Linked DNA regions of Saccharomyces cerevisiae S288C. The gene in region 1 interacts genetically with each later gene. Each region holds a gene or a part of one and is shown in the gene's direction. Other genes may lie near its edges. The genes, in order: RQC2, VMS1, RQC1 and PDE1.

Region 1 (9,709 bases):
GGAACTTCAGGTAGCAAATTCGACAAAAACTCTGACATGGGTTCCATTGTCCCACCTGCAAGGACTACACATTTTGCTTGATTTAGTATTGACTCAAAAGGTTTACTTGGTTCTAGAAGCATGTACTTTATTGAATAATTTTTCTCAAAAAAAAATTGTCCTTCTGACGTCAAATTTGTCAAACAATATAGGAATTGAGAAACCTTGAAAAGTAATGGCTGAGAAGAAACTGATTTTTTATGCGTTTCTTTTATTGGATTTTCATTTTTTGACGATTCTTCCTCTTTTAGTGCCTGGTTATACGTGTCAATTTTGTAAGCAATTTTGGAGACTTTTATATATCTCAATAGTTTATGAATGTTTAGGGTATCGATGTTACTTCCTGTGAACATATCGTTAGGATCTATTTCTTGTCCTATCTTCTTGAAATTTTTAACTATAAATTGAATCAGAGTCATCAAAAGTGAATTGAGCTTTAATAGATTTACTCTGTTACCGGGATTGAGCCTGGACTTAAATTTGTTGAAATAAGTTACTATCCCCTTATGGCAATTCTTTAAGTCCTCCAACGAGATCTGAGAGGAATATATAGAATTTATTGTTTCTATCAAATTATGAGCCTCATCAATAATTACTATAGAATTTTCAAGGTTTATTTGAAGACTTGAACGGGTGGACTCAGAAAGTAAGTATTGATATGGCAAAGTCACTACCTCCGCAATAGGAAGTGCCTCCCTCGAGGCGTAATAGGGACAAATTCCCAAAGATTTTCCCAGGGGAACTAAATCTTCAATATCTTGAATTTCTGAAAAAATCATATCTCTGAGAGCTAACGTATCAGGACAATGACGCCATTCGTTTGTATTTTGATAAAAGATACATCCCTCTTTACTATGTCTAAGGTCCGCACATGCGTCATTAATAGCTTCCAATGTTTTCCACTTCATCACTTTTGGATTAATACAAAGCTGCTTTTTCGAAGCAAGTGGTAAGTACTTCACCTTTTCATCTGGGACCTTATCCCTAAAGGATGATGGGAACGAGGGTAATCTTAACTGAGAAGTAAATTGACCTAATTGTGAATAAGTTCTGGATGCATAATATATTTTCACTGGATTTTGATTTGTAACGTCAAAGCGATCGCCATTGTTTGGATCTCTCGAAACCTTCCCATCAATTTTGTCTAAAAGTGTTATTATTTGTGAATTTAGTTCACTCAATTTGTAATCTTTATCAGATATTCTTCCTCCTCTTGTGCTTTTGGAGGTATCATTGTTTTCAGAATCTGATTCGTACGGGCGCGGAATAAAATCTTGTTCTTCAAGTGATACATCAAGGTGCCTAGCGCCTTTGCGTTTCTTTCTTAATGGATCAACTGATTTATATCTTCCATGTTCTTTATCTAAATCACACATAGTTTTCAACTGCTTACAACTGGTCGTGTTAATTTCGTTTAAATGCTTCTCATAATCATTTAGCAAATCCACCTTTTCTTGTAAAACAGACTTTCGATAAGTGTCAATAACCCAGTCTGGCTCGTCATCGCTTAGGTTTTCACTATCATCTTCATTCGTTTTGATGTTAGTTTCCATGCGGGTGAAAATATCTGCTTTATTCATTCTCAACCAAGTCATCGTGGCACAGATTAAGGACAGCGTCTTGCCTGTCCCAGTGGGGCTTTCCAGGATAGCTATTTTCTTCCCTTCGGATAGCACTCTGTATACAGTTTCCATTAACTGTACCTGAATATCATAGGGCTTATAAGGATGATAGAAAGTCTCCGAATATTCCTTTTTGTCCATTTTTTGGACTAGTGTGACTGTTTTTAGCCTGGTTTTCTACTCTTTTGGGTTTTAAGGAAACAAACTGAAGTTGCAGTAGTGCCCTCAACTTAGCATGTGCTGATTACACTAATGATGAATTTAAATATGTCAGTGATAATGTCATCAACTGTCAGGTAACAAATGAGCCTCTACCTCAACTCTGTGGTTACGATTAAAATTGGATTTTCAATAAATAGCCTGAGTTTTAACCTTTTCAACAATTGCGACTTCTCTTCCGGACATTAACTAATGCACTATATCTATTGTATATTTGGACGCGTTTGAACTTTTCATTCATGCTGCGGAAGGATAGAAAAATGAAATTTCGCCTGAAAAATAGTTTTAAAAGAATCCGATGGCAAATTGAAAAGAAAGTTGCTACTTATTATCCGGTCTAAGAAGTCAGGCAGGCAAGAGATTAATAGCGATGAAGCAAAGAATTAGTGCCCTAGATTTACTGCTGTTGGCTAGAGAGCTGAAACAGGATTTGGAAGGCTACCGATTGAGTAATATATATAACATTGCCGATTCCTCAAAACAATTTTTGCTGAAATTTAATAAACCAGATTCTAAACTCAATGTTGTTGTCGATTGTGGCTTAAGAATTTACTTAACTGAATTTAGTAGGCCAATACCTCCAACTCCTTCCGGCTTTGTTGTCAAACTAAGGAAGCATCTTAAAGCTAAACGGTTAACAGCTTTAAAGCAAGTAGACCAGGATAGAATTCTTGTTCTACAATTTGCTGATGGCCACTTCTATTTAGTTTTGGAATTTTTCAGTGCAGGGAATGTCATTCTTCTAGATGAGAACAGAAGAATTATGGCTTTGCAAAGAGTCGTTCTAGAGCATGAAAATAAGGTCGGACAAATTTATGAAATGTTTGACGAATCACTTTTTACCACAAATAACGAGTCTGCTGATGAATCCATAGAAAAAAACAGAAAGGCAGAATACACCTCTGAACTAGTCAACGAGTGGATAAAAGCAGTTCAAGCCAAGTATGAATCAGACATTACTGTTATTAAGCAACTTAACATTCAAGGGAAGGAGGGCGCTAAAAAAAAAAAAGTGAAAGTACCTTCCATCCATAAACTGCTGCTTTCGAAAGTCCCTCATTTGTCTTCAGATTTATTATCAAAGAACCTTAAGGTATTCAATATCGACCCTTCAGAGTCTTGTTTAAATCTTTTGGAGGAAACAGACTCACTCGCCGAATTGCTAAACAGTACTCAGTTAGAATATAATCAACTTTTAACTACCACCGATAGAAAGGGTTACATTTTGGCCAAAAGAAATGAAAATTATATCTCTGAAAAAGATACTGCCGATTTGGAATTTATTTATGATACATTCCATCCCTTTAAGCCATATATAAATGGGGGAGACACTGACTCTTCTTGTATCATTGAAGTTGAAGGTCCTTACAATAGGACGCTAGACAAATTTTTCTCAACAATAGAATCCTCTAAGTATGCTCTACGTATACAAAATCAGGAATCGCAAGCGCAAAAGAAAATCGATGATGCTCGTGCCGAAAATGATAGAAAAATACAAGCTTTATTAGACGTCCAAGAACTAAATGAAAGGAAAGGCCATCTCATAATTGAAAATGCACCCTTAATAGAGGAAGTTAAGCTTGCTGTTCAGGGTCTAATCGATCAACAAATGGACTGGAACACTATTGAGAAACTAATTAAAAGTGAACAAAAAAAAGGCAACAGAATTGCTCAGCTTTTGAACTTGCCTTTGAACTTGAAACAGAACAAAATTAGCGTCAAGCTTGATCTCTCTAGCAAGGAACTCAACACTTCTTCAGACGAGGACAATGAATCAGAAGGCAATACTACTGATAGTTCTAGTGACTCAGACTCAGAAGACATGGAGAGTTCGAAGGAGAGGAGTACAAAAAGTATGAAAAGAAAATCTAATGAAAAGATAAACGTTACAATTGACCTTGGTTTATCAGCTTATGCCAATGCCACTGAATATTTCAATATCAAAAAAACAAGTGCTCAAAAGCAGAAAAAAGTCGAAAAGAATGTCGGCAAGGCTATGAAGAATATTGAAGTCAAAATTGATCAACAATTGAAAAAAAAGCTAAAAGATTCTCACAGTGTCTTAAAAAAGATCCGCACTCCTTACTTTTTTGAAAAATATAGTTGGTTTATTTCAAGTGAAGGATTTTTGGTCATGATGGGTAAAAGTCCGGCTGAGACAGATCAAATCTATTCAAAATATATTGAAGATGATGATATTTATATGTCCAATAGTTTTAACTCTCATGTATGGATCAAAAATCCAGAAAAAACAGAAGTTCCACCGAACACTTTGATGCAAGCGGGTATACTATGCATGTCCTCAAGCGAGGCTTGGTCGAAGAAGATATCTTCTTCTCCATGGTGGTGCTTTGCAAAGAATGTTAGTAAATTCGATGGCTCTGATAACTCCATTCTGCCAGAAGGTGCCTTTCGGTTGAAAAATGAGAATGATCAAAACCATTTACCCCCTGCTCAACTTGTGATGGGTTTTGGATTTTTATGGAAAGTGAAAACCAGTGGAAATGAGGATAATGGTGATGATGACGAAGAAGAAGAAGAAGAAGAAGAGGAAGAAGAAGAAGAAGAAGAAGAAGAAGAAGAAGAAGAAGAAGAAGAAAAAGAAGAAGAAGAAAAAGAAGAAGAGCAACAGCAAGATGAAGACGATAGTAACGAGGTCAATGGGTTAGAGAAGGGTGGAGATTCAAACGATAGCACGAAAAACAACAGTTTTGAACACGATAATCTTGAAAAAGACATCGAAAAGCATTGCACCATATCATCCGATACCGACTCTGATTCTGGAAATGCTAAAGCCAAAAATGACAATAGCAGTACGCAGCGTATCCTTGATGAACCAGGTGTTCCGATATCTTTAATCGAAAACATAAACAGTAACGTCCGTGGTAAAAGAGGAAAATTGAAGAAAATTCAAAAGAAATACGCCGACCAGGATGAAACTGAACGTCTCTTGCGTTTGGAGGCCTTGGGTACTTTGAAGGGTATCGAAAAGCAGCAACAAAGGAAGAAAGAAGAAATAATGAAGCGAGAAGTTAGAGAAGATAGAAAGAATAAACGCGAGAAACAAAGAAGACTACAGGCTTTAAAATTCACCAAAAAAGAGAAAGCAAGAGTGAACTATGATAAACACAAGTCCGAATTAAAACCATCTCTCGATAAGGGCGATGTGGTTGATGATATTATACCAGTATTTGCCCCCTGGCCTGCGCTTTTGAAATATAAATACAAAGTCAAAATACAACCGGGAAGTGCGAAGAAAACTAAGACTTTAACTGAAATTTTACATTATTTCAAGAGTAGACCACTAGACGGTTCTTCAACTGACAACGAAATGGATTGGCCCCAAGAACATGAAATGATTAAAGGCTTGAAGGAACAGGACTTGGTTCTTCTGCTCTGTGTCGACAAGTTAAAAGTAACAATCGCTGGGCAGAAATCCACCAAGAACGGTGGTAACTCTTCGAAGAAGGGCAAAAAAAAACGCTAAATCATATGAGATGAAAAGAAAATAGACAGCAATTATAATTTTTTCATTATTTTTCATCACAGACCAACGAGAAGAATAAAATGATTAGCATGAGGTGACAATCATTTCTAAATGAGCAACATATACTTATATATATAAGTAGATACATATATATGGAAGGGAGAAAGTAAGACACTGCATATATACCATATAAGACCAGCTAAAATTTTCTTCTATCCGCTTTGCCTTGTGATCATAAGCCTTGCTGTAACCTTTCTTGAAACTTGCTCTTTGCGAAACCCCACGCGCCTAAGAAACCCTTATCCAAATCTAATGCCATTTGGGGTTCGTTCGTAGGTGGTTTAGAAACTCTGGATGCAATAGTGTTAGAGTCAGTTTCGAGGATAACACCATTATCAATGGTTTCATCAATAGCTAATAAAACCATATCATAGTTTTCTTGGATGTTTTTTTTGTCCATTCCTGAGTTCAAAATCAAATCCAAAGCTCCTCTGATTGCTGAAAATCCTTGCTGAAGAACAATTTCATTCTCTTCCAGCGAAGCAACTAAATATATCGTGATATCAATGTATTCTTTGTAAAGGACTAAATGATCCTCGAAGATTAAAATCTCCGAATCTTGCTTGTGAGTCTTACGGTATAGTTGTTTCTCAAACTCTTTTTGCTTCTTCACCGAATTGAAGAGCAATTGGTGTCCTTCATCAGATCTATGAGGAGGTTGATAATACTTTGCATAAATTCGTTCTCCTTGCTGATCTAGTATTAAAACAGCCTGAACAGTATATAGCGATAAAGAAGACATCCTGGAACAATGATGCACAGTACTCAAAATTAGCAAGCCAGCTCACAAACAAAACCTAAATGCCTAAAGAACTTCTGTCTAGCAATAACTTCGATATTCCACACCTTGTAGCCTAAACAATGCAAACGTGTTTTTTCACTTGACAGAAGTGGCGAAACGGGTAAGCTCGCGATGCTTTAGTTTTTTTTTTCAGTAATTTCATATTGCATGATGAAGGTATGCTAATATAACACTTGAAGTAGCTTCCTGAGCAATTCCAAATCACCTACTAGCGGAAAACAGCGATATCTTTGGGTCAATAGAGTTCCTCTGCTATGACTACAAATAATGACTTCTATTTTGCTCTACTACGCATATCTATTCTCCAATTATTGAAGGCACAAGGATTTGACAGGGCAAGGCCCAGTCTGGTGGATGTCATGACCGATCTCTATGCAAAATTCTTGAGTTTGTTAGCATCAGAGGTCAGTTCTATCGCTCAGGCAAGATGTGATCAGGACGATACAATTGCTTTACAAGATATAACTCTGGCTCTGGAAAATCTAGGTATTGTTAAGCCTACGAACGTTCTGGATGTCTATGATGAAAACTCCGAATTATCAAGTTCACGAGGAATGGAAAAGTTCAAGGACTGGTGTATTTATAGTACTCAATTGACCGACGCGCGAATAACTGCCTTACCCACAGTAGAATTACTACAAAGTGAGGAAAAAGAATCTGATCCTTTGTCAGCAATACCTGACTATCTCAATCAATTACTGCAAAACAAGGGTGCGAAACAGAAATTAGAAACAAAGAATAGAAAAACAGAGTTGATAGAAGATCTAATAAATAATAATGGATTAGATGATTGGATCAAATTAGTCATTGCTAGACAACGTATAAACATGATTGAAAGAGCTTCCAAAAAAGAATCTCAAAATGTACCGGCTTTACCACATATTGCAGGCTATAAATCTTCCATTCTAAGCCGCCATCACCACACTACCATAACAAACGAAGATAGGATGCCTTCGGCGATGACCCCAAGAGATGAGGATGCCTTAACAGAGATCCAAGAAAATCCATTTGTAACTAGCAAACTGCCGATAATGAGAAAAGAAAATAGGTTAGAAAATATAACTCTTTCATTTGAGGATGAGGAGCTTGAATCACTTGGCGAAGTGGAAGGCCCTAACCAAAAGTCTCAAGAAAATAACAATGAGGAAAGTTTTAAAGAGAACAATAAAAGTTTAACAGAGTCTCCTCATGGTGATGACCGTGACATATCAATGTTTCAATTCGACTCAAATGTTGATACTAAATGGGCAGAGCAGGAAGATATGGACAGCACATTTCAACGTCGAACCTCACTAGATTATGGGGGTTACTTTTAAAACGACATTTCTGCATTTTCTTTCGTCATTATCTCATCCATATTTAATTAACCTCACATTATTACTATATAGTGTACTTTCGCTTCTTCAAGATAATAAGCAATTAAACGCCCGATTCATTTTTTTCTTTATTTTAATCATTTTTAATATACAGTATTATAATATTCTTATATATACATATCTGATTTTTTCTCCAGGTGTGTAATTAGCCATATTGCTCAGTTTCAATCTTCTATAATTTTTTTCTAGATTTGAACTTTGGACCTTTCTTATTATGTTTGCCAATCTTGTTACCTTGATTTACTCTTCCTCTCATTAGCCTACTATCCTTTTCACCATCATCATCATCGCCAAATTCATCAGAGTCCTTTCCATTTTTCCTGAATTTCAGCTTGTTTCTTTGACCTCTTACAGGACCACTTTTCACAGCCTCTAGATACGCATTGATTCCGCTTGTCACAGCACTCAATGGATCGTCTACATTAGTAGAGGGTTTAGGTTGCCCCTTGACAACGAGTTTTCCTTCTGAGTCAAAGTTAAACGCATCATCATTAAACCTTGCTCTATTTTGATTCTTATTGAATTTCTTTGGTCTGGTAGATGATATATGAGCTAGTGTTTGAGAATCTAACAAATCTAGTGGGTTGTCACCGGATTCTACAATAAATTGCTTTGCCCCATTCTTCATTTTGCCACCAGCAACATTTTCCTCCTGATCTGATCCATTATCATTTTCTTCATCAGACCCATAAACAGCTTCATCGAATGCAGACATAAATCTTGAACCCTTTGTGGCAGCTACATCACTAACTCCAGTAGTAACTTCTTCATCTTTACGCTTATTCCTATTGCGCATCTTTCTTATATTTGTTAATAATCTCCTATCTTCTTCAGGGAAGTTGGCTTCAATGTAGTCATATCCAAATCTCCTTATTAATCTTTCAATAATATGCTTGACTTTGGCTTTGAAATGACCAGTGTGTTCGTGAGACCATCTTAATAACTTTAGAAGTAACTCTGGCACCTTTGGCCTCATCAGTTCTTCTGGAAGCCCCAAAACACAAACCTTGGTAAACCCAATGGCGCTTTTTACAATTTCCCTAGAGTTAGAAGTTAAGTACAATTCAATGGTGTCATATATATCCATTAGTATACCGGAATCGAGTTCATTTTTGAATTCAAAAACTAAACAAGCATAACCCGTAATTGAACTACTAACCATATGTTGAGATTCACCAATAAGACCGGCAGAAATGATCTTAAAAAACTCTGATATTGACGACGATTGATCTGGAGTGGTAGGATCATAACCTGGTATTTGGAATAATTTGATAATACCATTTGGCTCATTCATTTTTCTTCCCATACAAATTAAAGTATCAAAAGCGGTCTCTCTAGATTTTTCATTCACATCCTTTGTACTCAAAATAACCTCAGCGACGGTTCTAACAATGAAATCAAGATGATCTAAAGGTAATAATTCTACTATGGTTTTAATTGCTGTTAATCTTGCAGCTTTAGCAGATGTTTGAACAGAGGAGGCGCTATCTACCATGACATTCTCAATATCCGAAATGAATTGGGCGACAGCTGTTGATCCCGATTTCAACTCAGAAAGCTTTGTAATAATTCTATAAGCTCTTTTTTGAATTAGCGCGTCAGCAGAATTTACGGTGAGGCTAAACATTGAGAATAAAGCAGAATAAGACGAGACAGGTAAGTATGTTATCATACATATGATTAAGTCCAATAGTGTCGCTGTCAATTGAGGCTTTTTCTTTTCTTTGTTCACATTTCCGCTACTTTCTTCATTCATAGAATTCTTCAAAAGACCACATACGTTGTTGAAAGTTTTCTCCAAATCTTCCTTTGAAGTAATCTTTAAATATTGATCAATCGTTTCCAAAATATAACTCCTTGCATTTGGAGTGGTTTGAGTATAAACATTGAACAAAACTGCTAGAAGATTCGTTGATTTGGTTGAAAGGTATTCTATATTCTTTTGAGCTTCAGAAATGGGGAAACGTTGCAACAATAAAACGTTGTGAGAAGAGGACTCTTCGGCATATGAAACATTGCTTTCTGCCAAGACCTTTAAAGCATGACAAATTGTAGTTCTTAACTCAACCTCGCTGTATAATAAAGAAGATAGTTCTGAGGCAAA
Region 2 (5,804 bases), on another chromosome or scaffold:
CATAGAGTGATCGATAGGTTCTTCAATTCATCAAGCATTATCTCAGAATTGTGTTTGGTAAGCTCTCTTCGAGAAAAGGAAGAACAAAAAAAAAAAAAATAAAGCAAAGAACAGGTTATAACGCTATGGGTAACTTTCCAGCTCCAAAAAACGATTTGATATTGAGAGCCGCAAAGGGTGAAAAAGTCGAGAGACCGCCATGCTGGATAATGCGCCAGGCAGGTCGTTACCTGCCGGAATATCACGAGGTGAAAAACAATCGTGATTTCTTTCAAACTTGCAGGGATGCGGAAATTGCTTCTGAGATTACTATCCAGCCGGTAAGACGCTATAGAGGCCTCATTGATGCTGCTATTATTTTTAGTGATATCTTAGTTATTCCGCAAGCCATGGGTATGAGGGTCGAGATGCTCGAAGGTAAAGGTCCACATTTCCCAGAACCTTTAAGAAATCCGGAAGACCTCCAAACGGTATTAGACTACAAGGTTGATGTTTTGAAAGAGTTAGATTGGGCTTTCAAGGCAATCACCATGACAAGGATCAAGTTGGATGGTGAGGTTCCCTTATTTGGCTTTTGCGGGGGACCTTGGACTCTAATGGTTTATATGACGGAAGGCGGTGGATCCCGTCTTTTCAGATTTGCCAAACAATGGATTAACATGTATCCAGAGCTTTCTCACAAATTATTACAAAAAATCACTGATGTGGCCGTGGAGTTTCTGAGTCAGCAAGTCGTGGCGGGTGCTCAAATACTACAAGTTTTTGAAAGTTGGGGTGGTGAGCTTTCGTCTGTAGATTTTGATGAGTTTTCCCTACCATATTTAAGACAAATTGCCGAAAGAGTGCCTAAAAGATTGCAAGAATTAGGTATCATGGAACAGATTCCTATGATCGTTTTTGCGAAAGGGTCGTGGTATGCTTTGGACAAGCTATGCTGTTCAGGATTTGACGTTGTTTCGTTGGACTGGTCCTGGGACCCAAGAGAAGCGGTAAAAATAAACAAGAACCGTGTCACCTTGCAGGGCAACCTGGATCCTGGCGTCATGTATGGTTCTAAAGAGGTAATAACAAAGAAAGTTAAACAGATGATTGAGGCTTTTGGAGGTGGGAAGTCCCGCTACATTGTTAATTTCGGTCACGGTACCCACCCTTTCATGGATCCAGACGTCATCAAGTTTTTCTTGGAGGAGTGCCACAGAATTGGTTCGAAGTAATGTGGAAATATTGATTCTTATAGTGTTATAAGTGATAATATACGTTTATGTAAATAATATCTTTTTCACAACGTTCAAAAGTGGCCTTTTTTCTTTTTTCGATATTCTGTATATTTATTACGATTTTTTTTTTTTTCAGATATTTATTTTTGCAGGTTCTCTGAATGGATGTAGTGACAAAATCTTAAATAGAAGAAAATAAAAGATGAAGGTATATGAAAATAAATGAGAATGCATATCACCTTTCCTTCGAAGAAAAAGGATTTTCAAAAGATCTGCACGCCTGTTGACAAGCTTCCAATAGCATGAATTCACAAAAGGCGAGTAAAATGACTGGCTCACTAAAAAAGAATGATCTTTATATTTTTGATTTGTCTGAGCAACTTCTGAATTCATTGAAATTGATGAGCTTTGACTCCACACTGCGAGAAGTTGAAGTAGAGAAGACATCTGATAATGATAGAAACAAGGAGTCTGGAGATCTCCAAATAGCAAGAAAGAAGGTCACATCAAATGTTATGCGTTGTAGTGTTTGTCAAATGAGCTTTGATTCCAGAAATGAACAAAAGGCCCACTACCAGACTGATTATCATTTGATGAATGTTAAGCGTAACCTTAGGGGGCTGGATATCCTATCCGTTGAGGAATTCGATGCGCTGATTTCTAAGGAGCATGGTATCAAGTCTGAAGACGAAAATTCTGGCGGCGAGCAAACTTCAAGCGATCACGAAGAAAGTGAGGAAGCCAGCGATCGGGACCCGGACCTACAAACTAATAATTATATGGAAACTATAATCGAAAATGATTTGCAGAAATTAGGGTTCCAAAAAGACGAGTCGGATGCTATTAGCCATATTAATACCCAATCGCCCTACATTTATTTCAAATCGAAGTATCTTCAAAAGAATGAGGTCTTGGCGATTTATAAGTCTCTATTTAATAAAAGGAGTCTTTCCAACCCCAATGAAGCTTTGACTTTTTGGAATTCGCAAGAGAACCCAATGGCCATTTCAGCTCTGTTTATGGTGGGAGGTGGACATTTTGCGGGAGCAATTGTTTCTCATCAAAGACTCAATGTCAAGGGGAACGCGCACAAGAAGGACGAAACCTTAATTGAGCAAGCGGTCAATTTCTTAGAGCACAAGACGTTTCACAGGTATACTACCAGAAGGAAGCAAGGTGGTTCTCAGTCAGCAATGGACAATGCAAAGGGAAAAGCTAACTCTGCCGGTTCAGCACTTCGTAGGTACAATGAAAGCGCTTTAAAAACAGATATACAGGGTGTGTTGAAGGACTGGGAACCTTATCTGTCAAAGTGTGATAATATTTTTATTCGAGCTCGCAATGTCAGTGATAAAAAAATTTTTACTGATAATACCGTTCTGAACAAGGGTGATGAAAGGATAAAGAGCTTCCCTTTTACCACGAACAGGCCCACTGTATTAGAATTGAAGAAGGCATGGTGCGAACTTTCCTACCTGAAAATATTACCTAAGCCTGAACCATTGGCAGTGAAAGAAACAGTACAAAAGTTAGAAGTGTCGAACAAAAAGGACGAATTTAAAGAAAAACAAGAACCGTTACTGGAAGAAATCCAAACAGAAGAAATAATTTCTCTGCTGAAGAAAGGAAGGGCACCGTTATTGATATCCTTCTTAAAAAAGAATAAGCTTGATGGAAACTTTCGGTTAAAGCCTGAGAGTAAATATTCCTTAACCCCTACCATGTTACATTATGCATCGCAGCAAGGGATGAAACAGATGGCACTGATTTTGCTCTCAAATATTAAATGCGATCCAACGATCAAGAACAGACTAGGAAGGACTGCGTGGGATTTGAATAGAAACGACGACGTGAGACACGCGTTTCAAATTGCAAGATACAATCTTGGAGAGTCTTTCACTAATTGGGACGAAACTCATATCGGTCAGCCATTGAGCAGAGAACAAGTTGATGAAATCAATGAAAAGAAAAAAGCAATAGAGAATGAAAAGGCAGAAAAACTGATTAAATTGGAATTAGAAGCCGCCAAGGAAAAACAAAGATTTGCTAAAGATGCAGAGAGGGGTCCAGGCAAAAAGTTAACCAATATTCCTTCAATTCAGCAACAAAATTTGAATTCTTTGACCGATGAACAGAGACGCAGATTGATGAGAGAACAAAGGGCTAGAGCCGCAGAAGAAAGGATGAAAAAGAAATACTGAGGAATATCTCATATTCAAATTTTTAGGATTTTTCTTAGCATTTGCATATATTTTCATAGACACAGTACTTACATTTAATAACAGTAATTGAAAAGCAATATTAAAATATAGAAGCCCAAATTTTATATTTCAAATGAATAAATGTTGTTTTTTTTGGCAATTTTTTGCTCTTCTATATAACAGTTGAAATTTGGATAAGAACATCTTCTCAACGCGAAAATGACGCCTCCAGTGAAAAAACATAAACTTTCAATGCAGTCTTCGGTACACTTATGAGTAACCCATATAGAGATCGTACACATTTTACAAGGATTTAGAGACAAAGTAATATTCTTCGTTGATATAGAGGTGTTCAATTGTTAAATGCTTTTCTTCTTTTTATTAGAAAAAGCGCCTTGCTTTTTGTTGTATCACTTGTAAATCTACCGTCCCTTACAAGAACATTCACGAAATTTAAGTGGCTCAGAATGAAAAAGAAACAATATAAAAAAGCTTTCCGTAGTCATCAATTTATTTTACATAACACTAGATATAAAGAAAAGAAGATAATATTTTTATATAATTATATTAATCTTAGTTTCTAGAGTTGATGATATCAACAAATTCTGGCTTCAAAGAAGCACCACCGACCAAGAAACCATCGACATCAGCCTTGTCCTTGAAGGTAACGGCGTTGCTACCGTTAGCGGAACCACCGTATAAGATTCTCAATTCGCTGGCAGCCTTGTCACCCAACTTGGAAGCCAAGAACTTTCTGATGGAAGCGTGAATATCTTGAGCATCTTCTGGAGTAGCAGCCAAACCGGTACCAATGGCCCAGACTGGTTCGTAAGCGACAACGACGTTAGTCCAGTCCTTAACTTCTTCCAAGACAGCGTTCAATTGTCTTTCAACAACATCCAAAGTCTTACCGGCCTTCTTTTCTTCCAAAGTTTCACCGATACACAAGATGACACCGACACCTTGACCTAAAGCGAACTTGGTCTTGTCAGCAATGAACTTGTCATCTTCGTGGAAGTAAGATCTTCTTTCGGAGTGACCCAAAATAACCCACTTAGCACCAACATCCTTGATTTGGTCAACGGAGTTTTCACCGGTGAAAGCACCAGAAGCCTTCAAGTAGGCGTTTTGAGCACCGACAGTGACTTGTGGCTTCTTAACCAAAGAGACAGAGTAGTCTAAGTAGGTAGCTGGAGGACAGATAACAACTTCGACATTTTCTGGGATAGAAGCAGTGTTCAATCTTTCAACAATTTCCTTAATGGATTGTTTGGAACCGTTTAATTTAAAGTTACCACCGACAAAGAAAGTTCTAGCCATTTTTAGTTTATGTATGTGTTTTTTGTAGTTATAGATTTAAGCAAGAAAAGAATACAAACAAAAAATTGAAAAAGATTGATTTAGAATTAAAAAGAAAAATATTTACGTAAGAAGGGAAAATAGTAAATGTTGCAAGTTCACTAAACTCCTAAATTATGCTGCCCTTTATATTCCCTGTTACAGCAGCCGAGCCAAAGGTATATAGGCTCCTTTGCATTAGCATGCGTAACAAACCACCTGTCAGTTTCAACCGAGGTGGTATCCGAGAGAATTGTGTGATTGCTTTAATTAATTTCGGAGAATCTCACATGCCACTGAAGATTAAAAACTGGATGCCAGAAAAGGGGTGTCCAGGTGTAACATCAATAGAGGAAGCTGAAAAGTCTTAGAACGGGTAATCTTCCACCAACCTGATGGGTTCCTAGATATAATCTCGAAGGGAATAAGTAGGGTGATACCGCAGAAGTGTCTGAATGTATTAAGGTCCTCACAGTTTAAATCCCGCTCACACTAACGTAGGATTATTATAACTCAAAAAAATGGCATTATTCTAAGTAAGTTAAATATCCGTAATCTTTAAACACTATGTAGTTAGGTCTCCCTCACAATCAGTCCATTTGGGTAGCACGGTCCTCAGGACGTATCTATTGATGGATTCGTCCAGTTCCATCACCATTACGCTCCCGTTAGGAACATTGGTAAACGATTCAAACTCTTCGTATGTCCATCTAAACCATTTCATCAGGAATACTCTGGAATAAATACCATGTGTAACTAGGACAACAACATCTCTGGGTCTTCTCTCTTGCCTATCATGGAAGTGCCTGAATAAAGTCTCTTGGAAACTGGCGACTCTGTCATATACATCTGCCGCACTTTCTCCATGAGGGAATCTGAAGAAGAAATGACCATACGTAGATCTCTTCTTCATAACGTCCTGCATGCTATTGATTTTTTGGAAATTACCAAAATCTTGTTCCCTTATTCTTGGCTCATCCTTAACCCGATATTGCAGATAACATTTTCCAGGCTTCCCTTCACAAATATTATCTTCATTATTTTCGTA
Region 3 (5,944 bases), on another chromosome or scaffold:
TCCATCTTTTTTTAACAGCTTGAACTGCGAACCTGGCTAGCGACTTTTTGTGCCTCTCCTCCTCCTTTGCCTTTCTTTCTTCTGCTCCGGCTACGTGTTTAAAATGTTGTTCTATCATTTGAGAAACCTTTTTGGCTCTTGCTATTCTTGCCTTTGTTGAACTTCTAAACAGCTTACTCATATGAATACCTTGGTTAATTAAGTGATCGGTATGGATTTGCAGATCTTGTTGTTTATAGAAATATGAAATCGGGTCTGGTTTATATGTTATGATAGTCTTGATTTCCTTGGATGTTATAGGTTGTAGTGAGTCCGTTTCTTTGTCATACTTCAATGCGCCATTTTCAATACCTTTTTTGAGTCTCGATAAAAGCCGTCTTTGTTCGTCGATGTATTTATTATATTCTTCCAGCGTTAAATCGTCTTCTAATGACTTAAAGGAAGCGATGTATTCGTGCAAGCTTTCGTATCCCGGCTTGACTACATGCAACGGGTTCGTTATGGTTTGCTTTGGAGGATGGACTACCAGTTTTATTCTAGGCTTCTTTTTCTTTCTACCTCTTTTTTTCTTTATATCTTCCTCTTCGGATGATGTGGTGAAATAAAAATTATCACTATAATGTTCACTAGTATTTTCAAAGGAGCTATCATCAGAAGGACACTTTATAGTGAAGGCTTCAGAGGGTTCTTCAACTTTTGCGATGTGATCATATCTCTCTTCAGCTATATGTTCATGCAATGGCAGTGGATTTTCCTTTCTTTCACTTTTGAACTTCAAGGACTTCGCTGCTTCTCTCTTCTTCAAATGTTGTATTGGTCTTTTTTGCGGTACTATAGATTTCCTATTTGAATGATCACTTAGTTTGTATTTTAGCTCCTCACATTTATTTCGTACTAATGGTGCTATGCTTTCTAACTTCAGTTCTATATCACCCTTTTTCTCATTAGTCGTTTCTGAACTAACAACTGTCGATGTCCTGAGGTTTCGCCTTCTGCGAGTAAGATCACCATTCGTGCCTTTCTTGGCTACGTCATCAGTGAATTTTTCTCCTCTCTCCTCTAACGACAAGTGTGTTTCCCTGAGAAACTTCTGAAAACTTTCAGAATCATTAAAATGGGTTGGATCATAATCTACCAATGAAACAAACTCTCTTAAATGGAACAGTTCATTCGTCAGAAGATCATACCTAAACTTCAAATCCGCCAGATCCTGTTCACCACCAGCCTTTTTGTCTTTCGCATGCGATTTACGAGATGTGGTCATATATTCTTGTAATGCAATAACTTGGAAAATGCAAAGAGCAGTTAGAATTCATAAATTTTCAGCTTAAGGAAATATTTTCTAAGAGTTAAAATGGTATTGTTGAATACCTCTCAAATGCAGTAATCGAATGCTTTGGGTCTTATCTAGTTTAAAGCTCAAAATCTATCCTTTTTGCACGTAAACACTTTAGAATCCCGCTATCCCTTTGCACTCTTTCTTCAAGTCTCCTCTTTTTTTTTTTTCTCGTAAGTTGTCGCGAAACGCCACCGAAAAATCTTAAGGAAATAATATTAAAAACTGAAAAAAAAAAAATTGAGAAAGTATTACCCTCCCTTAATAATCGTATAGAGGTATAAACGGGTAACATTATGCGAGCAATATGTTCACTACTGCATCAACGTATAGTGAAAAATGTCCATAGGTAGTACATACAGTCCACCAGTTGAAGGTTAACATACAGGTCGTTGAATCATCTAAATATATTTGTAAAGTACTCGAACATGAGCTCTAGAGCATTAAGGAGATTACAAGATGATAATGCTCTGCTAGAGTCGCTGCTATCGAATTCAAATGCGAATAAAATGACGAGTGGTAAAAGTACTGCCGGTAATATTCAGAAACGGGAGAACATCTTCTCTATGATGAATAACGTACGTGATTCAGATAATAGCACTGATGAAGGACAAATGTCTGAGCAGGATGAAGAAGCTGCTGCTGCTGGGGAGCGTGATACTCAAAGTAATGGTCAACCTAAAAGAATTACACTAGCATCCAAGTCTTCTAGAAGGAAAAAGAATAAAAAGGCAAAAAGGAAGCAAAAAAACCATACCGCCGAGGCTGCAAAAGACAAGGGTTCCGATGATGATGATGATGATGAAGAATTCGACAAGATTATCCAACAGTTCAAAAAAACTGATATATTGAAGTACGGTAAGACTAAAAATGATGACACTAATGAGGAAGGTTTCTTCACGGCATCTGAACCAGAGGAAGCATCTAGCCAACCTTGGAAGTCATTTTTAAGCTTAGAAAGTGATCCGGGCTTCACAAAGTTCCCCATTTCATGTTTGAGGCATTCTTGCAAATTTTTTCAAAATGATTTCAAGAAATTGGACCCCCATACGGAATTCAAACTTTTATTTGACGATATATCTCCAGAGTCTCTTGAAGATATTGATTCGATGACATCCACACCTGTCTCCCCTCAGCAGCTGAAACAGATTCAGAGACTGAAAAGATTAATTAGAAACTGGGGCGGAAAAGATCATAGATTGGCACCTAATGGCCCCGGAATGCACCCGCAACATTTGAAGTTTACCAAGATCAGAGATGATTGGATCCCAACTCAAAGAGGTGAGCTCTCTATGAAACTTTTAAGTTCTGATGATCTTTTAGATTGGCAATTATGGGAAAGGCCGTTAGATTGGAAGGATGTTATCCAAAACGATGTCAGTCAGTGGCAAAAATTCATTTCTTTTTATAAGTTCGAACCTTTAAATTCCGACCTGAGCAAGAAATCAATGATGGACTTCTACTTAAGTGTTATTGTTCACCCTGATCATGAAGCCCTTATAAATTTGATTTCTTCTAAATTTCCGTATCATGTGCCTGGACTGCTACAAGTTGCTTTGATATTTATTAGGCAAGGTGATAGATCAAACACTAATGGATTGTTACAAAGAGCACTCTTTGTCTTTGATAGAGCTTTGAAAGCAAATATTATTTTCGATTCCTTGAATTGTCAACTACCTTATATATACTTCTTCAACAGACAGTTTTACTTGGCAATATTTAGATACATCCAATCTCTTGCTCAAAGAGGTGTTATAGGAACTGCTAGTGAATGGACAAAAGTTCTCTGGTCACTGAGCCCATTGGAAGATCCTTTAGGATGCAGGTATTTCCTCGATCACTATTTTCTATTGAATAATGACTATCAGTACATTATAGAATTATCCAACTCTCCATTAATGAACTGTTATAAACAGTGGAATACTTTAGGATTTTCCTTGGCGGTAGTACTAAGCTTCCTAAGAATAAATGAGATGAGTTCCGCCCGCAATGCGCTTCTAAAAGCCTTTAAGCATCATCCTTTACAACTGTCAGAACTTTTCAAGGAGAAACTCTTGGGCGATCATGCGCTAACTAAAGATTTATCCATTGATGGCCATTCGGCAGAAAACTTGGAATTAAAGGCATATATGGCCCGCTTCCCGTTACTTTGGAATAGAAACGAAGAGGTAACATTTTTGCATGATGAAATGTCGAGTATTTTACAGGATTACCATAGAGGAAACGTTACAATCGATTCAAATGATGGGCAAGATCACAATAACATTAACAACTTGCAATCACCTTTCTTTATTGCGGGAATCCCAATTAACTTATTAAGATTCGCCATACTATCTGAGGAGTCTTCTGTAATGGCTGCAATTCCATCATTTATCTGGTCTGATAATGAAGTATATGAGTTTGACGTATTACCACCAATGCCTACGTCAAAAGAATCAATCGAAGTGGTTGAAAACATCAAAACCTTTATTAATGAAAAGGATTTAGCTGTCCTTCAGGCAGAAAGAATGCAAGATGAGGACCTGTTGAATCAAATTAGACAAATATCTTTGCAACAGTACATTCATGAAAATGAAGAGTCAAATGAAAATGAGGGTTAATAAGAAATGTTGCAGCTCATTTTCTAGTACGCAGAGTAAGGCTAAAGCACTTATTTGAATTTAACGTTATTCATTGCATAGTTCAGAAAGGGTGTGATCCAAAAGAAAATGCATATACGAGTGGTCCGACGTTTACATATGTACTAGTGACTGTATATTAATATATGCACATTTATGTAGCTACGGATTTCACTTTATAAAAGATCTTCTTTTTTGATATTCTAATATTCGTAACAATGATTTCAACGGGTAGACAGGTGCCAAACTGCTGGCAAAGATTAAGTTGGAAGCATCTCCTTTCGTCATCTTAGTATTTACATAAGTAGTAACATCATCCAAAGATAATCTAATAAAATCTTTTGAGGACTCACCATATACTTTCTTTAGCTTTCTGAAAACAAAGTCTCTTTGTTTTGACGTAGGAACTGTTTGTCTCCATTTCGAGTATTTACTAGATATTGCCTGGTATTGCATTGTTTGTCCTTCCAAGTCCGAATTTAGAGTATTTATGATTTTTTCCACCTTTGACATTACATTCCAAAGATTAGCGTCTTTTATTATACTTTTTGGAACATAGTCCGCGTATTTATTTGTTATAAAACACGGTAATTGTCGATACATTTTTAGATGATATACCATCGACAATTTGTCTTCGGATTTTTCTTTGTATATTCTCAAATGATTCTTACCTTTTAAAGGGAGGCCCCACGCATTTGAGGCAAATTTCACCCACGGATATTGTGAGTTCATCAACAGCTCCATTTCTTTTACAGCTTCAGAAGCTTCATCAAACTCCTTGCCAGATGGATATGAGTTATTGCTCTGTGTAAAATTCCTAAAACTATCAAAGGAGCACAAGGTTAAATCAACCGAATTTGCACTGTGAATCCAATCGGCAACGCTATTTCTTTCAGTTACATTTTCCATTGCTGCTTCATCAGTCTGAAATAAAGCCCTTAACCTTTCGTCGATTTTTTGTTGTTTAGCTATTATCTCTCCTTGGATTGCTTTTAAATCTTCAACTGTAGCATCATCAAATTCGATATCATCACTCCTTATACCCAGTAGAGTGGGCGCTGAAACCACTCCAACACTAGAAGCTCCAATGAAGTCGATGATATGACAGTGGTCTTTCGAATGGTGTAACCGTAAACCTCTTCCAATCATTTGAATCAAAAGTGAACGCGATTTTGTGGGCCTACACAGTAGTATACAATCAATATTTGGCATGTCCGTTCCTTCTGTGAATATTCCACAGTTCATGAGTACTTCAGTTTCCCCATTTTTGAATTTTTGAATTATATTATCTCGTTCTATCTGTTTTGTATCCGAGGTGACATAGTCCGTATTAATACCGTTGTCTTTAAATAATTTATGCAAACTTTGTACATGGGCTTTATCAACGCCAAACAGTAATGTTGATTTTAGTGATTTCTCTTGCTTTTTATGAAGGTAAGTTTTCAGAATTACTTCATTAATTTCTTTCGTATTCATTAGAGACGATAACGGTGCCAGCTGGAAGTCATCTGCAGTGCTTTTTACATCTGATAAGTCTGCTTCAATTTTGACTGACGTGAATTTTGCCTCACATAGCCACTTGTCATCGATCATTTCCAGTATTCCCCGGTGGTACACAATTTTATCCATTACCATTGACAAAGCTCTTTTATCTGCTCTTTCGAAAGTCGCACTAAAGCCAATAACAGGGATTTTGGTTTCTGCAGTTGAAGCTTTGAAATGATCTAAGATACTTCTATAAGAATTAGCCACAGAATGATGTGCTTCATCAATGATGATGAGATTCACTGAATTAGTATCATATTTATGGAGTCTTCTAATCAACGTCTGAACAGATGCAACAATCACGTCAGAATCTTCAATATCGCAATCATATTTTCCCATTTCTATGTGAACCTTTAAGTCGGGGAATATTTTTTTAAGAGTGGCCGTCGCTTGTAAGGCCAGCTCCCTCCTGTGAACCAGGATCAACGATTTAAAATTTCCTTGA
Region 4 (7,537 bases), on another chromosome or scaffold:
GTCAGAATTACTTCCAAAGATGCTCCTCTTTTCTCCTTTATGGTATGAATCTCATCAACTAGGACAAGTTTGACCAATTCGAATAATCGGCTGTAATCGGACCATCTTCTTGTTAACAAATCCCATTTTTCTGGTGTCGTAATTATTATGTTACATTTTTTAGCCTTTTCAGTTTCCAGAAAAGAGGTATCACTAGTAAGCATACCAACAGAAAGATTCACAAAGGAAGGAAACCAGTTCTTGTACATCTCGTAACATAGAGATTTGGTTGGCGCGATGTATATAATTTTGGTGTTATTGGTATCACTATTTGTTTCCTTTATAAGACGTAATATTGCCAATTCAAATAATACAGTCTTGCCTGATCCGGTTGGTGAAGAAATTATGCAGTTCTCGTTACTCTCATAAATACTAGGAAAAGCCTCTGATTGCATTTTATTAAATTCTGTAAATTTAAAAACCCCTCTGAATGAATCTGGTAATATGGTCGTGCTCAAACATTTCTTCGCTGATTTCCTTATCGTGACCTTCTTAGGTTTCTTCGCCTCTTCATCAGGTGTCTGCTCTAAATCGTGATCAAATAATTTACTAGTTACTTGTGTATCATCTGCTGTTATTGAAAAATTATCGTCTTTGTCGAAGAATTGCAGACCACGGCCCTCAAATATTTCCTCTGTTTCATTTTCATCATCACAATCATCCAGTAAACTGTTATAAGACAAACCTACTTTAAAACTTGGTTGGCGGCTATTTTTCTTATTTCTTTTAAATGTAGCAGACTGGTCGTTAAAGTCAATATCTATAAGTCCTCTGAAATTCTAGTCCAGAAAAACCACTTTTGGTTGCATTTCCGCTAGATAATAAAAGAAAGAGGTAACAATGTTAGTCAAAATACTGTTGTTGTCCGATATGGTGTAAACTGATAAGGGTGTTGCTAAGCTTCGTTACTACTATTTGGAGAGGGTCTACTTCTTTTTCCTGTACCGAGGCGATCAAACTTTGTTTTCATCCTTACGACGCCTCTTAAGTTGTCAAATCCACCTTGAGGTATCAATCATTTTCAATGAAAGGATTTCTTGATAGATGATACTAATAGTCCCGTTTTGTTTATAATCCGGGGCAAAGTCTAAATACCCGCCGAGCCTGCATCCATTCGTGGTACATGATATGTTAAAACTACAACAAGGCATAAAAAAGGGAAGTATATATGATTAATTATATATACGTAAAGGAAAAGATACGTAGTTAAAGATTGTTTTTGTTGGTATCAATGGAATCAAAGATGAGTGAAGAAGAAGCGCATAAAACAGTGGAGGTGGATGACGTCGGGGTTCAATTGGATGAGGGCGATGAAGAAGACCTTTTGGAGTATGATGATGAACTCGTGGAGGAACAACCATCGGACGCCCGTATACGCAACGTGGCAGAGACTTTAATGAAAAGCGAATTGCCCAAAGTCACCGTGGAATATAAAGATACTACATTTCTGTTGTTCACGTCGGATGATAAGAACGAAAGTAACAACCCCATAATATGTGAAAACGCTGCTCTTTATCAGCGACCCATGGGGGAATTCATGGAATCCATTCGTAAATTTATGGGAAATCGTTTTGGCAGGTTGGCTTTTGCTACGAAGGAGTTGGTTTTACAACTGAAAAGCCTCGATTTGACCTTGTTCGAAGATAATGTCTACAACAACCATATTTCATTCAGCGATGTTTATACTATATTTAAAATCCTGAAGGAAAGATCGGAGTCTAATTTTGAAACTGATATACCGACGCACTTGGCTATTGAATTAAGTACAAGGCCAAGATTTGTCTCTCGGTACAACGCCTTGGTTGAATTAACTGAAAGCTCAGCTACGTTGAAAAACATAAAGCCATTTTCTAACGATGAAACGCATCCCTTAATTGTGGATGACAATGACCAATATACACACCAGAATACTTCAGAAGTCATTGTAATGGACATAGATGATGACGTAGGTGAGGATTCTGAAGACTAAAGTAGCCATGTTTAATCAGCACTGATCGTGGGAAATCCTGATGTCCAACGGTGAGTTTCTGATTTCCCAGTCACGGATTCCTTTTGAGAATCTTCTCCCGCGAATAAATTATTGGCTCTGTGTAATATTTAAGGTCGCCTTCTTTTTCGTTTGTATAGTCAGCAGTTAAGTATTCATTAATTTTGGATGATGCAAAGGTCCATATTCGATTTCTGATAGCCCTTCCCCCTTTTTTGTAGCGAATTGTATTATTGTTTTGTATTGTTTTTTCGTCATTTTCTTCAATTTTTTTCAAGTTTTACTTTCGGAAGAATTGCTGAAAGTATTTTCTGTTAGGATATGTAAAATACAAGCATAAAATATGTTTCAGGAGAAGAAAATCACTCAATAGTGCCACACCATTGTTAACGAGCTCGAGTAATTGAATCAATTTAGAGAAATAGATCATATTACAAAAATACTATGATTATTGAACGTTGGGAAGTAAAGTTATCTAAATGTAACCAAAATGTGGGCGGCTATTCTGTTCTGTCAGGAAACTTAAAAGAAAACATCAAACTGGGAAGACGAGCACAAAAATATTTGAAAGAGCTAAGAAATTTGCAACTTAAACCACTGAAAATCGGAGGGTATGAAAACTGCGGCACGATCAATGGTGAAGAGTATTTTTTGGAGGTAATTCACATCACCTCTGGAAGACAAAAAATAGATGTAGCCGTTGGCAAAACATGGAATGTGACTAACATTGAGAATGACAACAAAGAAGAACTACAGTATGAGTTATTCAAGGAAAAGTTAAAAGTCGGGAAACAGGACATGTTATTTTTTAGCTGGATGAAAAGTCTTTCAGTTCAATTAAATGCTCCTCTTCACCAAAAAATGACGGAACACGGTTTGGCAGACGATAACACGAGGTTAGAGTGGTTCAACATCCCACTTCTCAGAAGAAGTCAATACAGGAAAAAGGTACCATATCCGAGTTTAAGACAAATGTCCTCTGTACTGGAAGTGCAATGCAGCACACTAACGGAGGAAAAGTTGAACTTCTGCGTTGGATTTTCTGATAAACCTTTGTCAGAATGGAAGCCCCAAATTTTTGAGCAAACCTACAATAGATACCGTTTACAACGGATCTCACCTGAGAAATCTTTCAAATATAAGAGTAGGTGCAGTAAGTACAATTTCAAGACCAGTTCGCAAAGCTGGGTTGTGAAAGTCCCAGAACATGATCAACAGCTTAATACGTTTGAAAAACGTTATGATGAACTCTTTGATGCTCAATTTAATAAACTAGAATTTTTTAAAATAAGAATGAAAAAATTGAAAAAGAATAAGCCAATTGAGAAAAAGAACTATAAAATATGGTGTCTAGAAAAAGAAGACCTAAAGGATTTGGTATGGGATCCTCTGAAAAGAATTTGCAATCATTCTAGGTATGCAATATTTGAGCATGTTACCATAAATAGGGAGGCCTATTCGATCAAACCATTAAGGTTAACTTTTCAAAAATTAGATTCCGGCTCCCTTGACCTGATCGATAATCAAAAAAAGACGTTTGGTAGTATAAAGCTTGCAATGAGTATGCCAGATGTAAAAAAAACTGAAAATCAGTCAATTGAAGAAAGTGAAAGACACGATGAAACTGCTATTGAAACCCAAGAATTTGATGAAAATGATTGTCTTTCATCTAAGGCGGATATTAATACATCATTAGCTCCTCAAAAGAGATCTTTCATCGATAATGAACTAATGTCCATGTTAGTCACCAAAAAAAAAATAAAGAAGGACAAGGATGTTAGTGACACCGGTATATCTTCCACTTCATACTTGATAAATTCTGGGACATATGCAAATTCTCATATTGAAATTCCTACCTCTAATTCAGTTTACAATGGAAAGGAAGATTGCTCATTTAATAACTACTCAGTAAAGCATTCAATATTGGAAGAAGATATTGAGAATAAATGCATAGCCGTAAATGAAAACAAGGTGATTGAGAACCAAAAGGTAATTCAGTCATTATGTAAAAATTCCCATCTAGACCTTATCGAACAATCTTACTTTGGCGAATGCGATTTCATTATAAACCATTCAACATGTGTATATAAAATTCAGGCGAGCCGATTTATGCAACTCAGAAATAACGGCTCATTGCATTACGATAAAGCGGTAAACGATCTTTTAACTGAATTTCAGAGAGTCATTATAATTGTGGAGTTTTCTGAAATAATACAAGACGTTGATCCTGATCTTTTCTGGAAAATCAAACTTTATTTATTGAATTCACGTGTTGATGTTTTTTTCATTCATGAGACTACTGACTTTTTTATTGATTGGATGAAATATTTCATTGCAAGATGGGCCTTTTCATATAACGATGAGAAAGAAAAAAATATTGCAAATGCCGATATTCTTCTAGATTTGGGATTTAACATCCTCTTAGTACGGAAAATTTTCCAGACATATAGTCTCGAAGAATTTTTTATGGCAATAATAAAGGAAGAAAGCAAAGCTGTTAAAATGCTTACGGTTTCACAAATGACTCGCCTGAAGAAGTTATTAACCTTAGAATGGTAAATCCAGCAAGGATCGTTACCCGGTAAACTATTTATACTACGCCTGCCTCTTTCGTTCTTCGACTACATGCTACAGTTAGTAAATTCAACCAAGGAAAATGTATTTATTAACATGAACTAGCCACCTAATTAACCCTTACCTTATTTTTTATACCCTTGGATCATCGGAGTATCTGTAGATCATATGTTAACGTATGTATAATATTACATCTGTCACAATAAACAACCCGAAAAAAATACCGCACGGAAAATGAGTTACTGATTAAGATGCACTTTTTGGTGAGGGTGCGTGACTTGAAACTAAAAATTACCAATAGTCAAACCCTTTCCATTTTCGAGGGAAGCAATATCTGAAATTTATATTTTTAGAAATTTCCAAGAGAAAGTGGCTTTTAACGAGGTTCTTCTTCTTCATCCCCTTTTTTACCAATATTCCTTTTTATGGTTGTATTCGAAATAACTATACTTGGGGCCAATGGAGGACCCACCGAATACGGAACACAGTGTTTTATACTTAAGCCTGCTAGAACAGAGGATCCAGAATTAATAGCTGTAGACGGTGGTGCAGGAATGTACCAGCTACGGGAGATGTTGGTCCAAGGGCGAAATGAAAATGAAGGTGATGATGAGCTTGTTCCAAGCTTTTATGAACATGATCGAGAGCCAATAGAGTTTTTTATTGATTCCAAACTGAACATACAAAAGGGATTATCCAAGTCCTTGCTACAATCATTAAAGAGGCAGGGAGAGCATTTTGAAAGCGCCAATACAATGAAGAAAACTTACGAGGTTTTCCAAGGAATTACCGACTACTACATTACCCATCCCCATCTGGACCATATTAGTGGGCTGGTAGTAAACTCCCCCTCAATATATGAGCAGGAAAACAGTAAAAAGAAAACTATTTGGGGATTACCGCATACTATTGACGTTTTGCAAAAGCATGTCTTTAATGACTTAATATGGCCAGATTTAACGGCAGAACGTTCAAGAAAATTGAAGCTAAAATGCTTGAATCCGAAGGAAGTTCAAAAGTGCACTATCTTTCCTTGGGATGTAATACCGTTCAAAGTTCATCATGGGATAGGCGTCAAGACTGGCGCGCCGGTATACAGCACCTTCTATATCTTCAGAGACAGGAAAAGCAAAGACTGTATAATAGTTTGCGGAGATGTTGAGCAGGACCGCAGAGAATCTGAAGAATCTCTACTTGAAGAATTTTGGTCTTACGTTGCTGAAAATATACCGCTTGTGCATCTCAAGGGTATATTAGTCGAATGTTCATGCCCATTATCTTCCAAGCCCGAGCAATTGTATGGTCATCTATCTCCAATATATTTAATCAACGAATTATCCAATTTGAACACTTTATACAACAGTAGTAAGGGATTAAGCGGTTTGAATGTTATCGTTACTCACGTTAAGTCAACACCTGCTAAAAGAGACCCAAGACTAACCATACTCGAAGAGTTACGATTTTTAGCTGAGGAGAGGAACTTAGGAGACTTGAGAATATCTATTGCGCTAGAAGGCCACACTTTGTTTCTATAATGTACACAACGTCAATAACATAATACTACGTAGATGAAAAGCGGAAAAATTCATTACCCGGGAGCAAGCAAAATACTAGTAGTAACTAATGAAACTTCTTTCCATTATTATTGATGAGTTAACTTATGTAGACTCATCTTTGAATCCCCTATCCCAACATAAGTCCCGGAATGGAACTCCGTAGTTTTTCTAGACAGCCTGATGGCATACTTGCTAACCCAAGATTGGGAAGGGAGGAAGTATTGGAAGGTGAACATCCGCAAGATGCTAGATTAGCCCGACAAAGCATTTGGTTGAGCCCAAGTTTAATTGCGGAGTATATACAGCTTTTTTTCAATTTTATTATAGGAACTATAGGACTGTCTCTTGCTATTAAATTCATTTTGATGATAAGAAACGATGTTAACTTAAAACTGGAGCATAACGTGAGGGAAGAATTAGATAAAATTGCAACTTGCAAATCAAGGTATTTTGAAAACCAGTGCGAACCTCATATGAGGGTTCCAGCATTGGAGGTACGTTGCAATGAATGGTCAAAATGTATGAACAAGGAAATAGTGTCTGGCTCCGATTACCAATGGGCTAAAGCATGGGCTCGTACTCTGGCGGAGGTAATAAATGCTTTTTTTGAAGCGTTCAGTATACGATCTTTCCTTTTCATTTTAATTAGCATAATAGGTATAATATTTGTTACCAATACGAGTTTCGGATCATACAGGGTTTATCTCAATAATAAAGATACAAAATCGGTTCGCCATGCATAGTGTATATAACTTAATCTAATCTGCACATTTATATTATTTAGATCCATACGTCGATGAGGATATGCGCAGGAAAGACATAAAGGAATATTGTTATTTCAAAGATTTTCTCCACTCCTTAAACCCGTTCGATAATATATGTTCTCCATCAATCAAACCTGAATATTCCTCATCACTTTCTTCAATTTCGGATAATCTTAGGTGATTATTTTCGAAAACCAACTTAAATGCTCTTATTTGAGAATGAGGATCCTCATCTCTTGGTATCATTTTCAAAAGCCACTCAGTAAGGAGACCATACCATTTAATGGCTTCTAAACATGCACTTCCAACTTGTGGATTATTGTTCTTTAATAAAACAGGTACTTCCTCCGTTGAAAACTCTTCCACAGTTTTTAATACATAATGGTCGTCTTTAAAACCATATATGATCCTTGGGATCCCAACTAAGAAGCATTGCAGCCAGGTCCGGAACAGTTTACGCTCAAACTTATGCGTATCCGATATGTTCGCAACTTGCTGCGTACATTTCAATTCGGCATAATGTTTTAAATTGTCTCTACCGTTTTCTTTAAAGTCAAATATACAATCCACCTCAGCACCAAGAATTAACTTGCAGTTACCTACACCAGTTCTCACAA

The links.
Region 2: of RQC2 (region 1) and VMS1, a mutation in one rescues a mutant of the other (synthetic rescue), as found in Saccharomyces cerevisiae (5 studies listed by BioGRID, with this or other methods).
Region 3: of RQC2 (region 1) and RQC1, changing one suppresses a phenotype caused by changing the other (phenotypic suppression), as found in Saccharomyces cerevisiae (3 studies listed by BioGRID).
Region 4: mutations in RQC2 (region 1) and PDE1 impair growth when combined (synthetic growth defect), as found in Saccharomyces cerevisiae (one study listed by BioGRID).

Annotation. Positions count from the first base shown.
Region 1 is NC_001148.4:531,478-541,186, reverse strand, and holds RQC2 (Rqc2p), read left to right. Parts: upstream 1-2,250; coding exon 2,251-5,367; downstream 5,368-9,709. Other genes in the region: CHL1 (DNA helicase), read right to left, coding at 1-1,802; RET3 (coatomer subunit zeta), read right to left, coding at 5,600-6,169; TAF3 (Taf3p), read left to right, coding at 6,484-7,545; mRNA-binding protein RRP12, read right to left, coding at 7,778-9,709. UniProt on the Saccharomyces cerevisiae protein: Key component of the ribosome quality control complex (RQC), a ribosome-associated complex that mediates the extraction of incompletely synthesized nascent chains from stalled ribosomes as well as their ubiquitin-mediated proteasomal degradation.
Region 2 is NC_001136.10:551,735-557,538, forward strand, and holds VMS1 (Vms1p), read left to right. Parts: upstream 1-1,519; coding exon 1,520-3,418; downstream 3,419-5,804. Other genes in the region: uroporphyrinogen decarboxylase HEM12, read left to right, coding at 126-1,214; triose-phosphate isomerase TPI1, read right to left, coding at 3,992-4,738; acid phosphatase DET1, read right to left, coding at 5,322-5,804. UniProt on the Saccharomyces cerevisiae protein: Endonuclease that cleaves polypeptidyl-tRNAs downstream of the ribosome-associated quality control (RQC) pathway to release incompletely synthesized polypeptides for degradation.
Region 3 is NC_001136.10:1,131,252-1,137,195, reverse strand, and holds RQC1 (Rqc1p), read left to right. Parts: upstream 1-1,764; coding exon 1,765-3,936; downstream 3,937-5,944. Other genes in the region: chromatin-remodeling protein SWR1, read right to left, coding at 1-1,264; IRC3 (double-stranded DNA-dependent ATPase), read right to left, coding at 4,126-5,944. UniProt on the Saccharomyces cerevisiae protein: Component of the ribosome quality control complex (RQC), a ribosome-associated complex that mediates ubiquitination and extraction of incompletely synthesized nascent chains for proteasomal degradation.
Region 4 is NC_001139.9:30,628-38,164, forward strand, and holds PDE1 (3',5'-cyclic-nucleotide phosphodiesterase PDE1), read left to right. Parts: upstream 1-5,025; coding exon 5,026-6,135; downstream 6,136-7,537. Other genes in the region: HFM1 (DNA helicase), read right to left, coding at 1-799, 952-1,009; RMR1 (Rmr1p), read left to right, coding at 1,283-2,008; ZIP2 (Zip2p), read left to right, coding at 2,471-4,585; BRR6 (Brr6p), read left to right, coding at 6,306-6,899; RAI1 (decapping nuclease), read right to left, coding at 6,990-7,537. UniProt on the Saccharomyces cerevisiae protein: Controls the level of cAMP in yeast cells, together with the high-affinity cAMP phosphodiesterase (PDE2).